Linked DNA regions of Diceros bicornis minor. The protein of the gene in region 1 purifies or fractionates together with the protein of each later gene. This does not show direct contact. Links are inferred from orthologs where the notes say so. Each region holds a gene or a part of one and is shown in the gene's direction. Other genes may lie near its edges.

Evidence for each region.
Region 2: the proteins of GOSR1 (region 1) and BET1L purify together in Homo sapiens (affinity purification with western blotting; 3 studies listed by BioGRID and IntAct, with this or other methods). This does not show direct contact. The link is inferred for Diceros bicornis minor from reciprocal best matches to the Homo sapiens genes GOSR1 and BET1L.

Annotation. Positions count from the first base shown.
Region 1 is NC_080757.1:17,341,991-17,350,330, reverse strand, and holds the start of GOSR1 (Golgi SNAP receptor complex member 1), read left to right. Parts: upstream 1-5,197; 5' UTR 5,198-5,269; coding exon 5,270-5,300; intron 5,301-7,610; coding exon 7,611-7,731; intron 7,732-8,340. UniProt on the Homo sapiens protein: Involved in transport from the ER to the Golgi apparatus as well as in intra-Golgi transport. It belongs to a super-family of proteins called t-SNAREs or soluble NSF (N-ethylmaleimide-sensitive factor) attachment protein receptor.
Region 2 is NC_080770.1:17,915-25,596, reverse strand, and holds the start of BET1L (BET1-like protein), read left to right. Parts: upstream 1-4,490; 5' UTR 4,491-5,689; coding exon 5,690-5,821; intron 5,822-6,102; coding exon 6,103-6,159; intron 6,160-6,304; coding exon 6,305-6,472; 3' UTR 6,473-7,682. Other genes in the region: RIC8A (synembryn-A), read right to left, coding at 612-762, 1,338-1,429, 1,921-2,511, 2,597-2,644, 2,924-3,007. UniProt on the Homo sapiens protein: Vesicle SNARE required for targeting and fusion of retrograde transport vesicles with the Golgi complex. Required for the integrity of the Golgi complex.

The DNA of each region.
Region 1 (8,340 bases):
CTCAGCATCTACTCTCATATGCCTGTCCCACCCCCACTGCAGTGCAAGGCTTTGTGGAGAATAGGCAAATGGAGAGAAAGACAAGGAAGATGGAAGAGGGATGCCAGAGTAAGGGCCTAAAGTTAGTCAAACCACTGCCAGAAAGACCACCTTAAGTCTGAATGGTCTGAACACATGTCCAAGCCAATCAGAGCACAAACTCCAGGGAAGGGGCTTCAAAGTGAGCACAATGTAAAGGGGCAGGTGATTTAAAGGAGCAGTCTTTGAAACAGAGCTGCTGGTGAAGGAAAAAAGTGAAAAAGAAAGGAGAAGCACCCTTTAATAACCAGGTGTTGAAAGAGAAAAGAGGCAAAAGAAAGAAATTAAAGAGTCCCGCAAGATAGATGAGTACTGCACAATTGGAGCACTTACGACGCTTCCCTATCACCAAAACCAACCAATAAAAACCCCACTAAGTACTTTGCTATATTGACAGAAGAGATCTCAGCCATGAAGCATGAAATTATAAACAGATATGAATATTGATAACTTTGTCACTATTTGTAGATATGATGGTGTATGTATTTTGTATGAAAATACAAAATAATCTACAAAGAAATTAGAAATAATAAGATAACTTAGTTCCACTTCCAGCTATTGCTGTATTGGCTTGAAACAGAAAGACCTTCCCATCAAGAACAATTAGAAAAGCTGGATTTAAAAAAAAAAAAAAAAGGAAAAACCTGTTTGAAGGATTGAAGAGCTACTAAGGTAACAAGGACTTATGGGGTCAAGATCCTAGAGCAAAGGCAGTTCAGGGGTGAACATCACAGTAGTTTTCACCTTGAGACATTTGTTGATTCATAAGTGGTGACTAAGAGGTAAAGATGCCTAGGAGCAGAGAGTCCAGGCAAGAGGCAGAGAACCCAAGCAAGAGCCAGAGAACCCAAGCAGAGTTCTAGGCAGTATTACTGGGTGGGGAAAATATGAGTTCAGCACCTATCAAGGAAGGGGGCATGGTAAACAGGCTTTCAGTTAGGAAACTTGATGGCTACACATTAGAAGTAAAAGCTAATCAGAAATAGTCCAGTTTTTACAAACATAGACTCCCACTTGGTATTAGTTCCACCCCACACTTGATTACGCGGATCTGCCCCATCCTCAACTGCCTGCAAGAAGCAGCAGTGAACTGTCTCTTGAGGAAGAGGAGCCTCAAATGATGACTACAAATTTTAATCTATAACATACAGCATCCAATCAAAAGTTACTCATTATCAAAAGACGTATCAGATGATGAAAGATCAAGAAAAAAATTAGAAAAGTTCCCATGGGAGGTACGGATTTTTCAGTTATCAACCAGAAATATTAAAATAATGGTGATGAATAAATTCAAGGAAGTAGAAGACAAGATGAAGAACTTTAGCAGAGAATTAAAATCTTAAAAAATTAAGTGGACGCTTTTGGTTCTGGACAAAATGGAGATGTATTTCTCTTCTCTTCCTCCCACTAAGCACAGCAAAAAACTTATATACTATATATGAAACAAATAAGAAGACTCAGAAAGGTGGAGAGAAGAAGGCAGACCAGTTAGGAACCTCAGGATCCAAGGAACGACGTGGTAGTAAGTTCCCTGAGTTTTGTTTTTGCCTCATATATCCCATAATGGGTTCTGGAGAAGCTGGCAACCCCAAAGTGCCAAAGGATGCAGACCAAAAAAGCCCAAAGAAAAGCCTTCTCTAGCCAAAGGACCAGGAAAGGGACAGCCTACCAAGACAGAATACTTTGAGACAATAATTGCACTACTCCAGCCAAATGCTACAGAAAAAACTGAGGCCCATCTTTACCCACTGCCAGCAAAGCTGAGGAGAGCCTAGACTCTACAGTTACCCGGCCATAATGAAGCAGGGCTCCCCACTGCCTGGGCAATGTCAAAGAAAGCCAAGTGGGGAACCAGGATTTCCACCACCACACAGTGGTAATGAGGCCCCGGCCATGGTGTCAGTGGAGGCCATGTGGGCAGCAGTAATAAGGCACCCAGAACCCCAGGTATCAACACAGCCCAAGGGAGAGCCTGAATTTCCACTCCTACCTGGTAGTGGTAAGGCAGTTCCCCACCTCCCCCACCAGCACAGTGTCAGAGGAGTTCTGCTTAAACAGAAGATTTAAATGAGATGCAGAGTCTTATTATAATATTTAAAATATCCAGGATATAATGAAAAATCAATCATTATACCAAGGACCCAGGAAATTTCAAGTTGAACGAAAAAAGACAATCAACAGATGCCAACATCAAGTTGACACAGATGTTGGAATTATCTGACAAAAATATAAAAATATTTTAATAAGCAACTACAAATAAACTGAGAACAAACAATATAAAGAGGCTCAGCAAAGAAACAGAAAGTCTCAGCAAAGAAATAGAAGACATAATGAGGAAACAAATGGAAATTTTATATCTGAAAAATACAATGATTCAAATAAAAAACTCAGTGAATGGGCTCAACAGCAGAATAGAGGACAGACATGCTGTCAGTGAACTTGAAGACAGAAGAGTAGAAATTACCCAATCAGAAAAACAAAAAATAGACTGAAAAAAATTAGTAGAGCCTCAGGGATATGCAGGACTATAACAAAAGATCTAGCATTTACGTCATCAGAGTTTCAGAAGGAGAGGAGAAAGGGTATGGGGCAGAAAAAGTATTAGAAGAAATAACGCCTGAAAATTTTCCAAATTTGGCAAAAGACATAAACCTAAAATTCAAGAAGCTGAGCAAACCCCAAACAGGAAAAAAACCAAAGAAATCTACACCAAGACACATCATAATCAAACTTCTAAAAACTAAAGAAAAGATTTTGAAAGCAGTGAGAGAGAAAAGATACCTTGGCTATAGGGGAAAAACAATTCAAATAATGGCCAATTTCTCATCACAAACTGTGGAGGCCCCAAGGAATTGGCACATGTTTCAAGTGCTGAAAATAAGAAATCATCAGCCCCAGATTCTATATCTAGCAACAATATCTTTCAGGAATGAAGAGGAAAGCAAGACATTCTCAAATGAGGAAAAATTAATAGCATTTGTCTCCAACTGATCTCTTTAAAAAATGTCTCAAGGAAGTTCTTGAAACAGAAAGAAAATAATAACAAAGGAATCTTGGAACACCAGGAAGGAAGAAAGAAAAGTAGAAAGAGTTAAATATGGGTAAATACAGTAGGCTTTCCTTCTCCTTTTGAATTCTGTAAATTATGTCTGACAGTTGAAGCAAAAATTATAACATCTGATGTGGTTCTCAATGAATGTAGAGGAAATACTAAAGGCAATTATAATGGGATTGAGCAAAAGGACTTTACAGGAGGTAAGGTTTCTACACTTCACTAGAACTGGTAAAACGTGGACACAAGCAGACTGTGATCATTTATGTATCTATAAAGCGTGGGTTTGGACAGCAGATGTTTTGTGTGCGAGGAAGATCGGCCCTGAGCTAACATCTATTGCCAGTCTTCCTCTTTTTCCTTGAGGAAGATTGTCCCTGAGCCAACACTCGTGCCAATCTTCCTCCATTTTGTGTATGGGACACCACCACAGCATGCCTTGATGAGCGGTGCGTAGGTCCATACCTGGGATCTGGGCTGCAAACCCAGAGCCACAGAAGCGGAGCATGCCAAACTTAACCACTACACCACCAGGCCAGCCCCAGGACAGCAGTTTTAACGGGCTGAGGGGTCAAGATGAGAGCACGTGGAAGCAGTTAGCACATACTTTCTAGATTTGGTGACTGGAAAGGAAAGAAGGCTGGGACTATAACTTCTGTAGACGGAGGAAAAGGCAACCAGTGGAAAAGAAGAGCACATATACCAGAGATAGGGGGATAATGGAGCACAGGTAGAGGTAGGATCAAGGGGTTGGTCTCGGGAAGAAAGGAGCCTCTGGCTCTGACTTACAATGAACTATCAGAAACAGAAATTAAGAAAACAATCCCATTTATAATTGCATCAAAGATTAAAATACATAGGAATACATTTAACCAAGAAGGTGAAAGACCTTTACACTGAAAACTATAAAACATTGATGAAAGAAACTGAAGACGACACAAATAAATAAAAAGATATTCTGTGCTCATGGATCAGAAGAATTAATATTGTTAAAATGTCCATACTACCCAAAGCAAGGTACAGATTCAATGTAATCCCTATCAAAATTCCAATGGCATTTTCCACAGAAATAGAACAATCCTAAAATTTGTATGGAACCACAAAAGATCCTGAATAGCCAAAGCCATCTTGAGAAGAAAGAACAAAGCTGGAGGCATCACTCTCCCTGATTTCAAACTACGTTACAAAGCTATAATAAACAAAACAGTAGGGTCTTGGCATAAAAACAGACGTATAGATCAACAGAGCAGAATAGAGAGCCCAGAAATAAACCCATGCATATATGGTAAATTAATCTATGACAAAGGAGTCAAGAATATACAACGCGGAAAGGACAGTCTCGTCAATAAATGGTGTTGGGAAAACTGGACAGCCACTTGCAAAACAATGAAACTAGACTACTATCTTACACCATACACAAAAATTAATTCAAAATGGATTAAAGACTTGAATGTAAGACTTGAAACCACAAAACTCCTGGAAGAAAACATAGGCAGTAAGCTCCTTAGCATCGGTCTTGGCGACGATTTTTTGGATCTGACTCCAAAAGTAAAGGCAACAAAAGCAAATATAAACAAGTGGAACTACATCAAACTAAAAATCTTCCGTACAGCAAAGGAAACCATCAACACAATGAAAAGGCAACCTATGGAATGGGAGAGAATATTTGCAAATCATATACCTGATAAGAGGTTAATATCCAAAACATATAAAGAACTCATACAATTCAATAGCAAAAAAAAACCCCAAAAGAGTCTGACTCTGAGAAGGGAAATATACATTTGAGAGAAGGTGAGGGTAACAGGGAGTTGGGTCTGAGGATAATTTTCTTCTCAGCCAAGCAGGCCCTTGCTGAGAGCAGATAAGCCGAGCTGAGGGCGATGATGCAGGTTTGGGGCGCGGAGACCGGATATGAACACGAGGATGACAGACGTTCAGGGAGTGTCAGGCGCTAAAGCTAAACTTGTCAGCCTCGCTCCTCAAAAGCTGTACAATGATGAACTGCCCGCCAGGTGGCGGTGTCTGCGGAAGCTCACGTATCCCATCGGCCCTGGCGCCAGGGCGGAAGAAGGTTCAGAGGTGATTCTGTGGCTCGCTGCGCCTCGGCTCTCCTAGCCAGACTGACGTTGGACAACAAAGATGGCGGCAGGAACCAGCAATTACTGGGAAGGTGAGGGGGAAGCCTCCGGGTGGATCCAGCCGAGGGGCAGAGGGGCTGAGTGCGGACGGGGCTTGGGGCAGGCAGCGGAGGAAAGAGCCTGGTCTCCGGAGCGGCCGGGCTGAGGGGCGGGGCTCGTCTAGTGGGAGCCCGGGGCCTGGGGGCGGCGGAGACCGGACGGTCCGGGCCAGGGGCTGACCTGCCAGGCAGCGGGACCTGGGGCAGGGTTGGCCAGAGAGGGCTGAGCGGGGACGGAGGGAAGAGGGGCCTGAGTCGGCGGAGGAGGACTGGGTTGAGGGGGTAGCGGAACTTGGACGAAGGGGCTTGGGCTACGAGCTCGGAGAGGAAACGAGTGTTGAGAGAGAAGATCCGAGCCCAGGAGACTGGGGGAGTCAGCGCGTTCGAGTTGAGGTCGCTGTTGGACAGTTGGGTAGGAAAAGCGAAAGGAGGAACTGGTCAGTCCGGTCCACAGAGGGAAATTGTGTAAGTGGAATGTCTCTTACTGGGTCCCCTTGGCAGCTTCAGGCTGGGACTTCGAGGACTGGGTGTCGAGTCGGCTTTTGAAGGCGGAGGAAATAACTTTGCCTTCTGCTCTAGAGATGGGTTTTGTTAAAAAGAGAAAGTTGGGAGAACCACTGTGAATTGTCATTATTGCATTTGCTATATACCTCTTCTACCAAAAAACCGTCTTGTGATTTGACAAGTACGTTTGTTTAATTCCTGAAAATATGGTCCGATAAAGTGGACTCACCTAAAACTCATTCCTGGACCGTGATGATGAACAAAAATCAGAGGAGGCTCACCTTTTTCTTTCAGTTGTCTCTTTGCTTTACTGCAGCATAGAAACTATTCTCAGAATCTCTTACCCCTTTTAACCTATTTCCTATTGCTACCCACTGAAACCTCTGGAAACCCACCACAAATAACAGTATTGTTACTATCAGATACTTGGTCTAAGAAACTTGATTCTAAGTTCATCCATACTTACCTGTTATACTTTTCAAAGTGCTTTTGCTTGATGTTTTCTGTTAGAAAATCAGTTACTAATTACAGAAGAGCATGCTTATAGTTTAAAACACGTATTAAAATGCCAATTTGAAATGTGTGTACTAGCTAGAAAATATTTTTAAATTATGTAGAAGTGGCTGTTGGTATCTTTAATACAAGTCAGTAGACTATGGTTTTTTGACGCACCGTGCTATAATAATTATAGAGCTTATTATTGACAACCTACTCTGTGCTAGGGGCTTTAAACACATGATTACTAATGCATAGAAAAATCTCGAAAGTAGGGGTTTAAAAAACAAAAAGCTGAGGTGCATAAAGTAGATTGTCAATAAATCACAGAGCCAGTTCTTAGAATCTCAGATTTTTAGGCTGAGCTGAGATTCTAACTGAGATTTGGTCTCTGGGCAAATGTTCTCCACTGTATTACTCTGCTTTTTACTTCTGGCTGATAAGTATATTGAAATAATGTTTTGTATTCCTTATTCCGGAAAGATGAGATCCTTACATTATTCCTTCCTACGTTTCAGCCCTTTTATTTGGACCTTGCTTCACCATGAATGAGAGTACTCACATCTAGATGTGGGTTTCTGAACTTTGGCTTCTCTCACTCAACCACTTACATGCCAGACTACTATACCAGTTTCTTTGCTTGTTTGTTTTAAAACTTATGCTCTTATTTCTGTCATACTTAGGTCTAACCCTGTTAGTGGCTCGTTGTTTATTGTTAGTTTCAGCCTCTCCAACTTTCTTTCAGTAAACTTAAGGAATTTTTTTTATCTTTGTCTATGATTATTTTTTCTTTATGCTCAATCGCTAAGTCATTCTACTATTAAGAATTTCATAAGGCTAATAAAGCTTTGGGACATAAAGAGATAGGAAAATCTCTGTCAAAAACAGTCGTGGTTTCTTGTCGTAAAGATAGCTGGTAAACTAATATAATGCTGGTCAGAAACCAGTTCCTTTGTGATTTGTATTCTCTTCTGTTTTCCTCCAAATTATGAAATTTTAGTTACTGCTATAGAAATAATTTCGTGGATGTTAGGACATTTGTTGTCTAGCTGTTTTTGAGATAAAGCTGAAATTTTGTGTCTCCCACTGTCCCTCCCCTTCTTGTCCCATCTGAAGTTTAAATAAGTGACAATTTGCTTTCCTGGGTAAATACTTGGTTTTGTCCTTATAACACTTCTTTATGGGAGGATCTAGATCAATATGTGATCATTTGCATTGTTTGTTTTCTTCCGGTTAGTTTTATGATTTTCATGTCTACTGATGGACTTGTTATGTCTAATTATTTGCTTTTATAATTTTTTAAAGATCTGAGGAAACAGGCTCGACAGCTGGAAAATGAACTTGACCTGAAACTAGTTTCCTTCAGTAAACTATGTACCAGTTATAGTCACAGCAGTGCCCGAGATGGAAGACGCGACAGGTATAGGTAGTACCAGATTCTGTCTCTTATGTCTTAGAGTAAATAATGTTTTTCTGTGTGAGTGAGGAACATCAGCCCTGAGCTAACATCCATGCCAATCCTCCTCTTTTTTACTGAGGAAGACTGGCCCTGAGCTAACATCAGTGCCCATCTTCCTCCACTTTATGTGGGACGCCGCCACAGCATGGCCTGACAAGCAGTGCATCGGTGCGCACCCGGAATCCAAACCCGGGCCGCCAGCAGCAGAGCGCGAGCACTTAACCACTAAGCCACGGAGCAGGCCCCTAAATAATGTTTTTAAAGCATTAAAAACTAAACCAAAATATATAATTCTGTACCTTGGTCATTTTGGTGAATTTTTGGTGTTTTATTTTGTTATTGATTGTTTTATTTTTTATTAATTTATATAAATTCTTCTTAATTCTTGAGACTAGCATTTATTTGGGATCCTTTGGCAAAGACTGTGACAGTGTTAGGAGGAAAATGCCAATGCTTAAGAATGAGTTTGTGTCAGAGATAAGAGTTTCTAGTTCAGCGTTTGTAAGGAAATGTGGTGGATTTGCCCACATTGTATTTCTTATAGCTTCTGATTGCTAAATGGAGCTGAGGAGCTAC
Region 2 (7,682 bases), on another chromosome or scaffold:
GCTCCAGGTGTGTGTGCCCCAGCTCACAGCACACCTGGGTAATGGGGATCCCTGAAGGGTCTACTGAGTCTCAGTCCATTGCACTCTTTAGCCTGCATGATGTCTGCAAGCTCCCACAGGGGCTCTTCAGAGCCCTGGACGGCCAATATCCTATGGTGCAGTCGCAGGAATCAGGAAGCCTCTGGCTCGAGGTCCCTGTGGGTCCCCTCAGGGACGTCTAGGGACAACCAATGCTCGTCACCAAGGGCTGCCCGTGCACAGAAACACTAAGAGTCTAAGATCACAGGCAGGGACTGGGGGCTTCTCAACACCATGCCAGAGAGATCCATAAAGAAATCTAAAAAGCAGACTCTGAAAACTTGTTTCCTTGTAGTAACCAGAAGCGAAACCTTCAAGTGTGTGTGTAGGAGTGTCCACATGCTTCTCAGGGAGGACGGGTCTGGCTTCCTGCCTGGCTGGACCACAGAGCAGCTGGAGGATCACCTGAATCATACTGGCGAGCTAATCTTCACTCACTAACGTGGACGGCACAAAAGCAGTGACCACAGCTGCTCAGGAAGGCCAAAGCCAGAGCCATTGGGGAGCCCACACAGCAAGTCCCCTCTGCCTACCTGATGCAGACGCTTCTCCAGGAAGCTAAGGAGGACACGAATCACATCCATGTTCACTCCCAGGAATTCCAGGGAGCCTTCGTGTGGCTCCAGGGTGAGGAGGACGTCCAGACACTTGAGGGGCAAGTTCCCCAGGAGGTTCACCGTGTGGCTGAGGACAGACGGGGAGAGGGGCTTGGTGAATCCAATCCCCCAGCACAGGCACAACCCTTGGTACCTCCTGCTGGGGCTGCATGTGACGTGAACCAGTGTCCAGGGGCCTAAGGAGCAGCACAAGGGGCCCGAGCTGAGGAGAGGACTGCTCTCAGGGGGCACTCCTGCTCAGTGGAGTGGGTCCCCGAGGAGGGGGGCACTCTTATGCAAACACCTCACCTATGACCCTCTGTCTGGGTTGAAGCACCACAGACCACCTCTGGAAAACCAAAACCTGCCTCCAGGGACAGGTCACCGAGAACAGGAATGAGGAACCTACACTGCCCTGTAGATACTACACCATCCACTGCCCCTGCCTAAGGTCCTGGGGCACACTCCTGTTCCCAGACTCGTGGCTCTCGTCCTAGCCATGTACTCTAAGTGCCAGAGCTCTCTGGAAACCCACTGATGTCTAGTCCCACCCAGATGGGTAAAGACTCGCTAGGGTGGAGCCTTGTCCACAACCATGGCTGGCAACCACCATCTAGACACGTGAGCACACTTCCCTCCCAACACAACAGGCCCCACCCTCACCCGTGGAACTCCTCTGTACGGTCTCCAGCAGCAGTGATCATCACACAGTGCCGCAAAAGGGTTCCCAGGTGCTGGTAAAGGGCAGCATCTTCCTGACCAAAGAGTAAGAGGTTCCTGTGAGAGAGAGCCCCACTTGTCCCCCTGCTGCCAGCTGAGATTCCACCGTCTGCCCCACTCCAGGACCAAGTGCACCGATTACACATCTCCCCCACTGCACACCCGGCCCCTCCGCCTCTCCTACACAACCTGAAAAGCACTCTCCTGATTAAGAACGTCAACAGATGTCCTTGGGATTGAGTCACACTCTGTGTTCTGACCCCATGCTCACAGCCTCGTGATTGGGAATCTCCTACACTGTCCCCATGTATCACACAGCTCTCCTGCCAGGCTCCAAAAGCCAAATGTGCTCTCCACCTCCCTCAGAAACCTTCCTTGGGGCCCCTACCCAGGCGTCTCCTCGCCTCCTCCAGTCTTCTCTGAGCCTAACACCCTGAAACTTGAAGGCACCCAACAGGGAAGCAGATCCAGGAAACATTCAAGCTGTTAAGCCCCACCCACGGGTTCAGATCAGCTCTCTTCTTACCTGGTCCACCTCTCTCTTTATGGAGTCGAAAGTGATGTTGAAGAGCACTTTGAGAATTTCCATGGCCCGCTCAGTCTCCTGGGGAGGAAGGAGCGCAGGGGGGCTCTCTTCCGGGCTCATTCCCAGGGTCAGCTCCAGCGCATCTGTCAGCAGGTGCACTCCCCGCAGCTCCTGAAACAGCTGCAGGCGCACGTCGGTGCGAAGCGCAGTTAGCAAGAAAAGAAGGCGCAAATCAAAGAACTGGACGTCGTGAGGAAAGCTGCTCTTGCGGTACAGCCCTACGCGCTCTGCGAGTCTCACCACCAGGCGAGCCTCTGCTGCCAGCACCTGTGCCACCGGGCTGCTGAGCACGAGGTTGCACAGGCACTTGAGGGACTCGAGGACAACGTCCATGTCCAGGGGCTCGGGGACCGAGCCCCCGGAGGCGGAGATCCCAGCATAGCAGGCAAATGCCTGCAAGCTCTGGCGGCTGGTAAATGGGTCCAGGCAGCTGCGGTCCCTGGACAGGATGCGGATGCTCTGCAGCCAGGTGACGCGGCGGGACGGTGGCAAGCCCTGCTCCAGGACCGAGGCCAACAGCTCCGCCAGTCTCTGTGGGCGGGGAGTAGAGCGGCTCCACCAGGCTCCCCGACCCGGGGCCCCCGTCTCTGCCCCTTACCCCTCGGTCAGCACCCACCTTCCTGTCCTCCTGCTGGGCGTCATCGAATGTGAAGCTCTGGGAGTTCTGCAGGGAAACCCAGGGGCTCATGGAGCGCAGGTCCGCACGGGCAGATCCCGGCCTCCGAGATGAGGCCCGAGGCTGCAGGCGCCGCTCCGAACAGATGGCGCCCCGCACACCTGCCCCCAGGTGCGCACGTGACTCCAACCAGCGACTCCTCGTAGGCTCGGCGCCCCTTCCTGCCGCTCCCTTCCACCCTCGGGCCCCGCCGCAGTCACCCACCCCTCCGCCGGCCGCGCCCACCCGGCCCACCGCCTCCTTGCGCGCCCCACGACTCCCGCTCACCTCCTGGTTGTACGCGAGCAGAGCCTCCATAACCACGTTCTCTTCCCCCGTTTGCACGGCATCGGCCACCGCCCGGGGCTCCATGGCGTCTCCAGTACTTGGCGCCCGGAAGGCGGGACGTGGCTCCGCAGCCCCGGGCCTGAGTCCGCCAGCCCCGCCCTGGCTCCGCGCGCGGGGGAGGCCGGGACGGGGCAGCGCGCGCCTTAAGGTGGCGCGCTTTAAGGTGGCGAGACTTGGAACAGCCTCCTAGAGCGTGAAGGCTTTGCCGCCCGGGCTTCAAGATCCGACTCGGTGATCGTCCGACCTCAGGTCCCGAGACGCCCCCGAACCGAAGAGTGACCCTCGGGAATTCTCGGGCAGGAATTCCTGGCGGAGACGACCTCAGCCCCACCCCCCGCCCCTCTTGATGAACAGGACGGACAGGATGTCGCGGGTACAGCCACGGTGGGAAGGGCTGCCAGCCCCCGCACCACTTGGTTTGTTAAACGGGCGTTTGGGCGCCTACTACACGCGAGGCGCCGTGATGCGGGCGAACAGGACCCGCGGACCCTGCCTTCGCGGACCTTATGTTCCCAAGGCGAGGACAAACAAGGACGATTTTAGGCAGGCGGTGCCGTGACTGGAAGAGGAGAGGCTGCTGGGCTGCAGAGAGGTCTGAGGTGCCGGACGAGAGGGGAGCCAGGAAGATCTGGGGACGGGCATTCAAGGCACGGGGGAACGGCCAGGTGGGAGAGAAACGGACCTCGTTGGGGCTGAGGAAGGCTTACGGTCAGGGTCAGGAGGAGAGCAGAGCTCCACAGTGCGCGGCGGCTCCTCGCTGCGCAACCCAGACACACGATCGGCCTGGACTCAGGCCTCTTTCTCGAAGAGCAGAGAAGACCAAAGTCGCCCTTCCAGTGGGTTGTCGGGAGAACTCAGTAATACAGCGGATGCCCCCGCAGTGGCGGGCGACTTGCCCTGCAACAGGCGCCGGTCGAGCGTCCACTCGGCCGGGCCCTGGGTCGGCGCCAGCGCACAAGCAGCAGCCCCACCCACTGTCCGGCTCCCCGTCCTCGTCGGGGGCGTCCCGGGCCCCGAGCACCACCTGGTCCGCCAGCAGTCACCGCGCCGCAGCCCGGCGGGCCGGGGGACCTCGGGGCCGGTCCCTCGGCGCGCCCAGCCCCGCCCGTCGCCCGGGAGAGGGCCCGCGAGCTCCTCCCACTTCGGGCCTGACGCCGTCCCGGAGGCGTGGCTGATAGAGGCGTCTGGACACCGGAGCTGGCGTTAAAAACGCTAACCCTAGGCGGTCCTAGTCAGGCGGAGGAACCAACATCAGGCCACTTCCGTCCCCACCCGGGCGCCCTGCGCCCCGCGGCCGGAGCCTCCGCCGGAAGTCGGCGGGCGCGCGGCGGAGGGGGCGGTGACCTCCGCCGGAAGTAGGCGGGGCCAAGGCGGAAGCGGCGACGCCGGAAGCTCGTTCCCGCGGCTGCGCCACGTCCGCCGCGGCAGGGGCCGGGTAGGCGACGGAGCCGGGGCCCGGAGCCGGCACGATGGCGGACTGGGCTCGCGGTGAGCGCGGGAGAGCAGAGCCGGATGGCGTCGGGGCCGGCCGTAATCGACGCCGCTGCCCGCAAGAGCTGCGTCCGCGCGGCCCAGCCCGCTGGGTGGTCTCGGCGGGGAGGCCCTGCGGGCGCTGGCGGCTGCGCTGTGGGCGGGTCGTGGGGTCCCTGCGTCGCGGGGCCCGGCTGCCCGGAGTTCGTACCCCTCTGTCCCTGTCAGATGGTTCTGCTGGCACCCCGGCCGGCCTCACGGTCGCGGAGGCCAGCCCCTAGGAGGGAGGCTGCGTGGTGGGAGGGCAGCCCCTTCGCCCTCTGGGAGCCCGTGTTCTCGTCTGCGATGTGGGATGCTGATGCCTGTCTCGCCGGGCTCTTGTGACCGTTGAGAAGTTAATGAACGTGAGGGGGTTGGTAGAACGCCAACACTCCTTCCTTTGGCGTCTGTATCCATCTGTGGTTCCTAGAGCTGCACCCCCATTAGATGGGTCACGTGGAGGCATCTGGCCCGGGGCAAGTTTGCACTCGGAACTGGGGGGACGCGGTTCTCACCCACCTGATGTGACAGTAATGCCGAACCGCCTGGCCGCTCCCTAGTCATGGGACCGGTCTTAGCAAGCACTGTGCTCGGTGTCATATAAGGCCCTGGGTGGGGTGCAGAGGTGAGCAGGCCCAGGCCCTGCCCTCGGGATCGACCTCAGCGCCCCCGTTTTTGGGTGTTGGGGAGCTGTGCTGAGTTGTCTCCTCCCTGGTTACCTGTCATCTCTTGAGGACCGAGTTCACAGGTCGTCCCTGCAGGGGTCTTCCTGCTGCCCCCCCACCAGTCTTTCCTTGGTCCATACCAGAGTTTACTGTTTTTCTCTGGGAACAGGTCTCTTGTACGCTGATAGTAATGTCTGTGGAGGGATGGTGCAGGTTCTGTCACAGAGTATCAGAAAGTGCCGGTTGGGCTGATCCTTTGAGGCTGTACATGTTGGGGATGCCTGTCCACCCTGGCCTGGATGTGTACACAGGACATGTGGTCACGTGATGGGTGCCCGCACACGCTGTTGTTGACACAGCCTGTCTCACGTGTGTGTGAAGTCCTTACACCGGATCCTGGGTTAGGGCTGGACTTGTTCATCAGACACAGGTGGGCCTAGTCCCGCCAGATTCCGACTCAGGTATATGGGATTGTAGTGAGAGAGTCCTGAGGCCACGAAGGGCTGACATCCAGGGGTCAAGGGCAGTGCTCATGGGTGGATGCACCCCTCAGCCTCTCTTTCTCCTTGCAGCTCAGAGCCCTGGCGCTGTGGAGGAGATTCTAGACCGGGAGAACAAGCGAATGGCCGACAGCCTGGCCTCCAAGGTCACCAGGCTCAAATCGGTCAGTGGTGGTCCTCCTGTTTCACCTCCACCTGGCACCTTGGAGCAGGGATCAGAGGGAGGGTAGAGGCTTGGAAGGGTTTCATGTAGTTCTCATCTTCCTTGTCCCATCCGTGGCAGCACTCTCTTGTGTGAGGCCTAGGTGATACCTGGACCTCCTGATCTCTGCTGGTGGTACTGTGTCTGGCAGAATCGTTGGTTGGGTCTGCTGGTCTCATGGAGGGTCAAGCACCATCCAGTGTCTTCCCTGGCCTGACCCTGCCCCCTCTGTGTCCTGATCAGCTTGCCCTGGACATCGATAGGGATGCAGAGGACCAGAACCGGTACCTGGATGGCATGGTAAGGGTCTGCAGCGTGCGTGAGTGTTTCGGTCAGCTCTGCCCCACACTGCCTGCTATATAGGTCCCCAGTGTCTCCTGCAGCACTCTCCTGTGGGTCTTGGAGGGTCCACCCCTGTGTGATCGTGTTGGGATTCCTCCCTCAGGACTCGGATTTTACAAGCATGACGGGCCTGCTCACGGGGAGTGTGAAGCGCTTTTCCACAATGGCGCGATCTGGGCGAGACAACCGGAAGCTTCTGTGCGGTATGGCCTTGGGACTCATCGTGGTCTTCTTCATCCTCTCCTACCTTCTGTCGAGGGCAAGGACGTGAACCAGTGGGAGCTGGCGTCTGTGGGTGCACAGGGCAACCAGCATCTTCCTCTACCTGGTGTCCTGGGCTCCAGAGGACCTTCCTACAAAATACTCCTTTGGAACGATGATCGTGGCTTAGGAATCTTCTTCCTGTGTGGCTGGGAGCCCATGGCTGCTTCTGGCCCAGTGAGATCATGTTGGCTGTCCCATGTTGCTGGTCCCATGCAGACATGGGACCCTTTCCTTTGGGGAAACCAAGGCCCAGCACCCTCTGCCACTCCAGGTGCTAGAGGTGCCAACAGAGCCAGGTCTGAGCAAAGGAGCTAGGAATCCTGGACGTGGCTACCTGTGGTCAGTCCTTCCCCCAGCCCTAGGGGCTCTGATGTCTCCAGGCACCTCTGCCCCATCCTTGTCTAGGTAAGGCCACGTCTGGTGTCTGAGGTGCCTGGAGCTGATAGAGAAGGGGTGTTTCTGTGAAGCTCCAGGCAGCACTGTCTGTTCCAACCGACAGTCTCAGCCTAGAGATGGTGGTTATTCCTGGCCAGGGGTCCTGAGCATGGGTGGACCAGTGAGGCCTCTGTGCCTGCTCTCTAGTCCCATGGCTGAAGCCAGACCCTTGGGGAAGTGCAGGGGGTTGTGGATGAGGAGTGGGCTGCAGCCTTGGCTGGAGGCACTGGGCCCGGATCCTTCTGGATTTTGTGGTCATGTATTCCAGGAGCAGAAATTCATATTTTGTCAGGATGCGGAATCTCCCCAGCGCCAAATATGTGTTTTTGGAGACTAGATGTCTAGAAACAGGCCCATTTGGTATTTCAGAGTCAGTCAGGGTATGGGAGTGAGGGGGACCTTTTGTGGGCCCAGACAGGAGGCTTTCCTGTAAGGACTTTCTTCATAGGACCTGTAAGTCACTTCTTGAGGATCACCAGGCAGTTTTTCCTCCACCAGGCCCAGCCCTTCCTCCCACAGCAAGTCTCTCCTTGCTGTGAGGGAGGTCTGAGCCACACCCTCCTCCCCAGCGTCTGCAGATGGCCCTCCCTGCCCCCCTCTCCCAGGGCCCTCACTGCCCACTTGGCCAGCCCCGTGCTCACACCAACTGAAGCACAGGCCCAGCTGGATCACTCGCCTCTTCTCTCCCCACAGCAAGATCCCAGCAGCTTTGTGTTCCCATGAAAACACTTGTAAGAAACGAGTTTTTGGCTTTTTGTGCTTCCTTGTCCTTGTTCCCATCT